2 linked regions of the Ovis aries genome follow. The protein of the gene in region 2 interacts with the protein of the main gene of each other region in a pairwise test. Links are inferred from orthologs where the notes say so. Each region holds a gene or a part of one and is shown on either strand. Other genes may lie near its edges. The genes, in order: PTPN21 and BMX.

Region 1 (4,463 bases), on a different chromosome or scaffold from region 2:
TGGGCGCTCAGGGCTGGGCCGGGGTGGGGGCGGGGGTGAGGAGAACCAGCGTTTAGCTCTACTCGGCTTTGGCAGACCTAACACTTCATAATCCTGTCTCACCGAAGTGGACTGCGTCTCTGAGGACAAGGCTGTGGAGAGGGCCTTTAGGCGTGTGTGCTAAGTCGCTGCAGTCCTGTTGGACCCTGCCACCCCAGGCACTGTAGCCCACCAGGCTCCTCTGTCCAAGGGATGCTCCGGGCAAGAATACTGGAGTGGGCTGCCATTCCTTCTCCAGGGGAATCTTCCCGACCCAGGGATCGACCCCGTCTCTTAGGTCTGCCTGCTTTAGTCAGGGGTTCTTTACCTCTAGCGCCACCGGGGAAGCCCCCCAGTGGGCCTTGTGGAGACGTGTAGTGAAAGACTGTCAGTCGTGTCCGACTCTTTGCGACCCCATGGACTGTACATGGATTCTCCAGGCCACAGTGCTGGAGCGGGTGGCCGTTTCCTTCTCCCAGGGACTGAACGCAGGTCTCCCGCACTGCAGGCGGATTCTTTACCAGCTGAGCCACCAGGGAAGGCCTGCTGCTGCTGCTGCCAAGTCGCTTCACTCGTGTCCGACTCTGTGCGACCCCGTCCCTGGGATTCTCCAGGCAAGAACACTGGAGTGGGCTGCCATGTCCTTCTCCAATGCAGGAAAGTGAAAGTGAAGTCGCTCAGTCGTATCCGACTCTTCGCGACCCCATGGACTGCAGCCCACCAAGCTCCTCCGTCCATTGGATTTTCCAGGCAAGAGTACTGGAGTGGGGTGCCATTGCCTTCTCCGAGGGAAGCCCTACAGAAAGTCTAAAAGGAATCAATTCCTAAGCCATCCTTGCTCTTAAGTAGATTACAAGCAAGCTATAATTACATACATGGCTGTATCTCTAATAAGGACCCAACCACGACTTTCTGCTTTTGTTGTCTGGGTTCGGGTTTTGTTTGTTTGAGCTCTGGTTATCCACAGAGAGCCAGAAAAATAAAAGTTAAAAACAGGGAATAGAGGGAAAAGGCCAGAAGAAAAAAGAAAACTAGAAGTGCATAAGCCACTGTGTTAATTTAACAGCATTTGCCGTGTACCTCTGGAAGGTAAAAGCACCTTACTAAAGAAGGGAATAGAAAATAGACATTATGAAAAGACATGGGCTCTACCTGCAGTTTTCAGTGCTCTTGTGTGTGTCAGGGTATAAACCAAATAGCTCGTTGAGACAAAATGAAAAATAAAATCCGTAAGTGAGAACTTGAAATAATAACCTTTCAACTAGAAAAGTGCCTATGAGCCATGCATGAGTACATTTTAAAAGATTATAGATACCCTTATAGATAGATATGCTAAATACCCTATCAAGAGATAAGGTAATGAATTTAAATTTTACATACAAATTATGGTAACTGGAAACAACAGTTAAGTTGTACAGAGGAAAGATGAAAATTTGTATTAGGGATGTTCAAACATGGTATTCTCTTCACTGCAAATATGAATTACGCCCTGAAGGCAGTAGATATTACATTATATAACTTAATTATCAATTTAAGCTCTGATGAAGCAGAGTAAAACTTTGCTGTCCCTGAGTTTGAAATGTTTTACTGCATCAAGGATATAGACAAGCCAACGTTTTCTCTTTTTTATTTTGGTAGATGTTATAAAAAGTAATTGAAAAAGTTGAAGGGTATGTGTGTGTGAAACAATTTACACAATTTTCAGTTATGTACAGTATTTGCTACCAAATATTGTCATAAAGTTATGAATGTTTGAATAGAGTAGAATTTGAAGATGCTTTGGGGGGGTGTCTGTTTCAGGTGTAAAATAATATGAAATAATTTGAAAGGTAGCTGGGTCTGGAAGTCTTAACTGATTACTAAACAGACATTCATAATTAGCTTTTGCAGGAAAATATACTAAGATATTTTGTTTCTCTACAAAATCACTTTATTTTGAAATTTAAAAAATAGGTATATATTAATTATGTTCAAGTATCATTTTAATGTTTTTACATCCCCTCTCAGAAGCTTCTCAAATACACTTTTAAAGTCTGAATCCTGTAGTTTTCCGCTTTGTTGCTACAGTCCTCATTACGTGTAATTTTATTAATGATGCTTTCAAATAAAATAATCTCTAAAATTGTATTCTTAGAATAATGAATAGATATATAGCATTAAATCCAACGCATATTTGTCGTGAACACATTTATGCGTAGAACTCGAGAATAAAATGTGCTGGAAACAACAGACAACTACTTTCAGAATAAAATTCCTATCATATCCCAAAGTTAGAAAAAAGGAAAATCTATCAGCAACCCTTAGGCATACAGCGGTTGTCACCTGGCGCACGCGGAGTTATTATGAACCGGTTTGCGAGCATACGCTATTATAAGGCTTTCTCAGCAAAAAAGAAAATAAGACGGGCATGCCAAAAGCGGCCAGTCTAATCAGGATTTGCAGAAATCACAAGTCGGAATTTGCAGACCCAAGAATTCTTTTTTCCAGAGTAAACACTCTTTACTCCAAAACCAAAACAAGCCATCACCACGAAACAGTCCTTCGTTCCTCTCCTTCTCGCCAAAGTTATCTGGCAAATCTCGCACTTAATATTGTGCCGAGAGGCACAAACATGCCTAAGACTTTTAAAGCCCAGATGCAGAATTAAGCCGCTCACAATCAACCGAGGAGCTCCGAATACAAGTTCAAGACCCCTCTGCAAATGCCTCAAGTGGAAGACAGCCTGGAAGAGTTTTTTCTCTTTGTTACGCTCGTCCCTGCCTCGGGTCTGGGCAGCCGGGACGCGTCCTCCCCGGACTCGGGGGTGTTGGCTGGCGGACACAGCCCCGCGCTCAGCCCCCGCCGCCCCCCCCCCCGCGCCCCGCGCCCCGCGCCCCGCGGGCCGGGGCCCCGCGCCCTCACCTGCTCCCGCCGCCGCATCCTCGGGGCCGCGCGCCCCGCTCAGCGGCCCGCCCCGCGGGGCCCCGCCGCGCTGCCGCCGCAGCCGCGCCCGCACTCCAGCCCCCGCCGCAGCGCGCTCACGGGGCCCGCGCGCCTCGCTTCCTGTCGCCCCGGCCCCGGCCCGCCGCGCATTCCCCCGCGCCGAGGGCGGAGGCCCGCAGCTGGGGCCGGCGGCGCCGCACGCAGAGGCCCGGCGCGGGCCGGGCAGCCGGAGGACGCGCGGCCGGAGCAGCAGGGCGGCCGGGCCCGGGCGTCCCTCCCCCGGGCCGGGCGGGCGGGCGGATCCGGAGAGGCGGCGGCGGCCCGTGACCTCAGAGGGCTGGAATGCGGGCGGGGGAGGCGCGGACAGCTGCGCCCGGCCGCCGGGGAGGGGGCGCGCCGCTGCTTGTTTGAATCATATGACCGCTTATTTTAAGAGTTTCCAAATAAAGCGAGGCCTTAACAAAAATGAGAGGAGGGGGTAACATTTCGGTGCCAGGTAAAGGGTGTTATTCCCGCGTTACTAGGTGATCGGTAAAAGGGTACTATTGCCGGAGTTGTTCGTTTACTCGTCTACATGTCTGAAAACAGTTCAAATAGTCTCTTTCTTCTCCGTTGCTTTCGTCTAAGGGCATACTCCATAAAAAAAGGATTGATAACAGGGTGGGAAGGACTGGTATACAGGGTGGCAAAGTCCCCTTCCCCTAAAAAAGATTGTGTGTGAAAGTCGTTCAGTCGTGTCCAACTCCTTGCGACCCCATGTTCTGTAGCCCACCAGGCTCCTCTGTCCATGGGGTTCTCCAGGCAAGAATAGCGGAGTGGATTGCCATGCCTTTCTCCAGGGGGTCTTCCCAACCCAGGGATTACGCCCCGGTTTCCCGCACTGCAGGCAGATTCTTTACAGTCTGAGCCAGCAGGGAAGCCTCCAAAAAGACTGATATGCCTCAAATAACCTTTAGGTCTTCAGCAGAGCTGTATGTTCATGCAGTCCAAAGTGGAGCTTTAAGGATCGGGGAACTCCAGAGTCCAGTTGTCTGGGTTCGAATCTCAGCTGCCAAGCTAACTAGCTGGAGGACCTTTTGCAAATTTCTTAACCTTTCTGTGCCTGCTCATGTCCTGTGAAATAATGAAAATAATCACTATCCAGCAACTTGTGTAAAACATACATGAAGGGCTTCATTCTGACCCCTAAGAGCAACTTTTATTATTATATGGTACTATTACACTACAGTCACCATCATTATCATTATTGCAGGTCTACACTTAAGCCAAGGAATAAAACTGTGTGGTCCTAGTAACCTTAACAATAGGTGTTTTGCTCTTACTTGGCCAGTGGTTTGAGTGACTGGAGCAAAGAACCTTCTGTTATGTAAACTTAATGTAAATTATTTTTAAAATAGCTTTGTTTCTGGAAAGCTTTGTCTTCCTTCCGGCCTGTGGACTTTTTTTCTAGTTGCAGCAGCCATCTGCAAAGCAGGGGTGTGGGATCCCGCAGCCAGGGATCTAACCCTGATGCACAGATTCGT
Region 2 (3,814 bases):
ATTCTCAACTTGCGTTCAGACCTGCTGTACCAGAATCTCTGGGGTAGTTCCTAATGAATCTGTGTTTTCATAAACTCTCCAGTTGATTCTCATGCATGCTAAAGACTGAAACCATTGAGACATGAAGGCAGGTGTCACCATTTCTATACTTGTTAATAGCATATTTAATTATCATGATAGTGGTGATATTAAGAAAAACAACAAATATCCAAAAACTAATTTTTCATTTCTGCTCAATCTTTACACATAATATACATCCTCTCTATTTTGCAGTCAGAAAATGTGCTTCTGCTATAGGCTGGGAGGTGTAATACTAAGAGAAGCATAAACAAAATCACTAACTTGACCTAAATATCAAGGAAATCTTTTGTTTCCTACCTTGTTTTTTTCTAGATAATAGAACAGATAAAACAGCACACAGAATACCGTTAAGCAAAACTAGCTAAATTACAACATCTGTGCTAGGCTACTTTCCTTAAAAAGAATGAAAATGTTGGTCAACATTTATACTCATTCTCATCAGATCTTCTCACTTCTTCTTCAAGGCTTGTCTTTTTCCCGAAGTGGTTCAATGGATGATAGGAGCTGCTGAAATGTGGGACGCTTTTCTGGAAGCTAGATAAAAGAAAAATCCAATGGTTTAATTTATGAGGGTTCCGATTTAAAATAAACTATGTAAAATATTTATACTTCAGTCCTAAAACTAGCAATTCTTAAAATGTGGAAATGCTATAGACATTTCTTCTAAAGAGAAAACAAATAGAACCCTAAGAATTGGGAAAGAAAAATAAGAGTATCTTTATTTGCATAAGATACGACTGCATACCTTGAAAAACCAAGAGAATTAATGATAGAACAAACCCAAATAACAAAGGAATTCATCAGGAGAGCAGCATATAAAATTAACTGACAAAATCTATAGTCTTCCTGCTGCTGCTGCTGCTACTGCTGGTAAGTCACTTCAGTCGTGTCCGACTCTGTGCGACCCCATAGACGGCAGCCCACCAGGCTCTGCCGTCCCTGGGATTCTCCAGGCAAGAACACTGGATAGTCTCCATATATATACACACACAATAACCAATTAGAAGATATACTGGAAGAGAAAACTCCATTTACAATAGCAACAAACCCCAATAAAATACTAAAAAAAAGTACCCCCAAAATGAGGAAAACTTTAAAATGCTGCTGAAAAACACAAGTGTAGAATTGAGCACATAGAAAATAACATTGGTTGTCTTTGAATAGGACACATCAATAACATAGAGATGATGAATCTCCCAAGTTAGAATACAAACTCTTCCAAATATGAACAAGCTTGTTTTAAGCTGAACAAATTGATTATCTAGTTTGTGGATTTTAAATATGCAAAATAGCTAAGAAAACTATTCAGAAAGAGCCAGACACAACTTAGCAACTAAACCGGCACCAAGAGAAAAGGAAGCAGGTGTGACTTACAGGTGTCTGTTTCTGAGTGGGAAAATAAAATTATGACTACAAAAAGTGGTAAAGAGTTTTGTGGAAAGTGGACGCTGGGAAAAGAGTTTTGTGCACGGTCAAGACTGACTAAGTTTAAAATAAAATTTAACTGTAAGTGAATTTAAAAGTAAGCTGAGCTTCTTAGGTGGTGCAGTGGTAAAGAATCCTGCCAATACAGGAGACGCAGAAGACATGGTTCGATCCCTGAGTGGAGAGGATTCCCTGGAGAAGGAAATGGTCACCCACTCCAGTATTCTTGCCTGGAAAATTCCATGGACAGAAAGGAGCCTGGCGGGCCACAGTCCATGGGTTCACAAAGAGTCGGACATGACAGAGCAAGTAAGAAGAGCATAACCACAACTAAGACTCGACAGAGCCATAAAGAAATATGAACAAAATTGTTGGCACCTATAGTGCTGGCTTCAGCAGGGGCCCAGGGCCATCGTCACCTGCTCTGTAGCAAGTGTGCGCATGCTCAGTCGCTTCAGTCCTGTCCGACCCCATGGACTGCAGCCCGCCAGGCTCCTCTGTCCATGGGATTCTCCAGGCAAGAATACTGGAGTGGGTTGCCATTTCCTTCTCCAGGGGAATCTTCCAGATTCAAGGACTGAACCACATCTCCTGTGTCTCCTGTACTGCGGCCAACTCTTCACCACTGAGCCACTCGGAAAGCCCCTGGAGCAAGTGCCTGCGCTCAGAAGCGCTCCTTCGGGCGGTGACCCAACAAGCCGCCGGGTGCGCCGCGCCGCTGCCCGCCCCGCCCCGTCGTGGGGCACTCGCCTCGTGCCAGCAGCTGTACATGATGTGGTAGACGGTGTCCGACGCCAGCTGGGGCCGGTAGAGCCGGTGGCCCTGGGAGACCTTCACGACCACCTGCGAGTTGTCGTACAAGTCGTAGGGCTGCTTCCCCAGGCTGAACACTTCCCACATCAGGATCCCTGCCCCGCGACGAGGGCGGCCAGCCGACAGAGGAAAGAGAGCCCACGTCAGAATGTACAGTTTGTCACGTGAGCTTCACGCGTCAGCAAGGCTCTGGGTCAGAGCCTGGGTCCCTGGGGGATGAGTCCCAGCAAGAAGGGCGGGTTAGGGAGGACAGACTGGGCTAGCCCTTCTGGAGCCCCAGCTCTCTTATTCCTGCTCCCTGAGGCCCCGACGCCCATTCTTGCTGGGAAACGGGGAGGCGGCCTGGGTCGCTGCAGGGGGAGGTCCCTGGGGCCAGGGCCCCTGGGCTGCTTCAGAGAGGCGGCGGCCCCGTCGAAGCCACAGGGACAGCCCCAGCTTCAACCCTTCGAGCGAGGCGCGGAAGTCCCCGCCCTTTCTCTCTGCCTTGGCAATAATTTCCTGGCACTCACACATTACCTTTGGGTGGAAATTTAAGATAAGGTCATGGACAACTTTCCGGCTTTTCTATTGCCTCAGTCCTCTGGAAGGTGGTTCTCCACCTTCTTGGCACCAGGGACCCATTTCGTGGAAGATAATTTTTCCCCGGGACCGGAGGGGGCAGGATGGTTTTGGGATGTTTCAAACGTGTTACATTTATCATGCACTTTATTTCTAAGCTAATGTTGCCACTGATCTGACAGGAGGCACCGGGTCTCTGCCCTAGAGGTTGGGGACCTGTGTTCTAAAATACTTTGTGGGTCAGGTGTCCTTTTGAGAATCTGCTTAAAACCATTGGCTTCCCCTCAAGACAGTGAATGCACAGAATTTTCTGACTCATTTTCTGGAAGTTCACAGAGTGTTTTCTGGAAGTATCCAGAGTATGGCAGACTCCAGATTAAGGAACTGAGCTCTGGTCATGGTGGGCAAGAGGGTGGCGTCTGGGGCCAGTCAGACATGGCTTTTGAGGCACAGGTTTGCCACTTACAAGGTGGGCAAGCTTCTTTGCCCTTCTCAGTTCTGCTTTCCCGTCTGTAATATGTGGATATTTGCATGTCACAAAGTTGTCATGAGGATTGAACAGGATGAAACACTGGGAGCACTTAAAGGACACTGGGGACATTTTAAGCTCTCTAAATGGTGGCCATTGTGCTGTCATACTAGCCATGCCAGAGAATTCCAGCAGTCAGCCAACCTCAAAAGCTTTAGAAAAACAGACATATGTAAGCGGGGAGAAAATTGTTCTAGAACCATAACTGAAGTACTAACTTCAAAACTTTGACTTTTAGGGCTACAGATTTTATGTAAAATATTTATAGTCAGGCATTATTACAATTTGTGGAGACTGTGTGTGTGTGTTTTAAACATTCTAAAAGAACCATCCAAAAATTTGTTGACTCCTTCACAACTCTCTCCTTTGAAGCGGGTCCACTTATCTCATGAATAATATCATTGCTTA

The links.
Region 1: the proteins of BMX (region 2) and PTPN21 interact in binary tests that used the Homo sapiens proteins (3 or more experiments, as listed by UniProt). The link is inferred for Ovis aries from reciprocal best matches to the Homo sapiens genes BMX and PTPN21.

What each region holds. Positions count from the first base shown.
Region 1 is NC_056060.1:98,303,746-98,308,208, forward strand, and holds the start of PTPN21 (tyrosine-protein phosphatase non-receptor type 21), read right to left. Parts: upstream 2,961-4,463; 5' UTR 1-2,960.
Region 2 is NC_056080.1:13,717,472-13,721,285, reverse strand, and holds part of BMX (cytoplasmic tyrosine-protein kinase BMX), read right to left. Parts: intron 2,415-3,814; coding exon 2,257-2,414; intron 616-2,256; coding exon 541-615; 3' UTR 1-540. UniProt on the Homo sapiens protein: Non-receptor tyrosine kinase that plays central but diverse modulatory roles in various signaling processes involved in the regulation of actin reorganization, cell migration, cell proliferation and survival, cell adhesion, and apoptosis.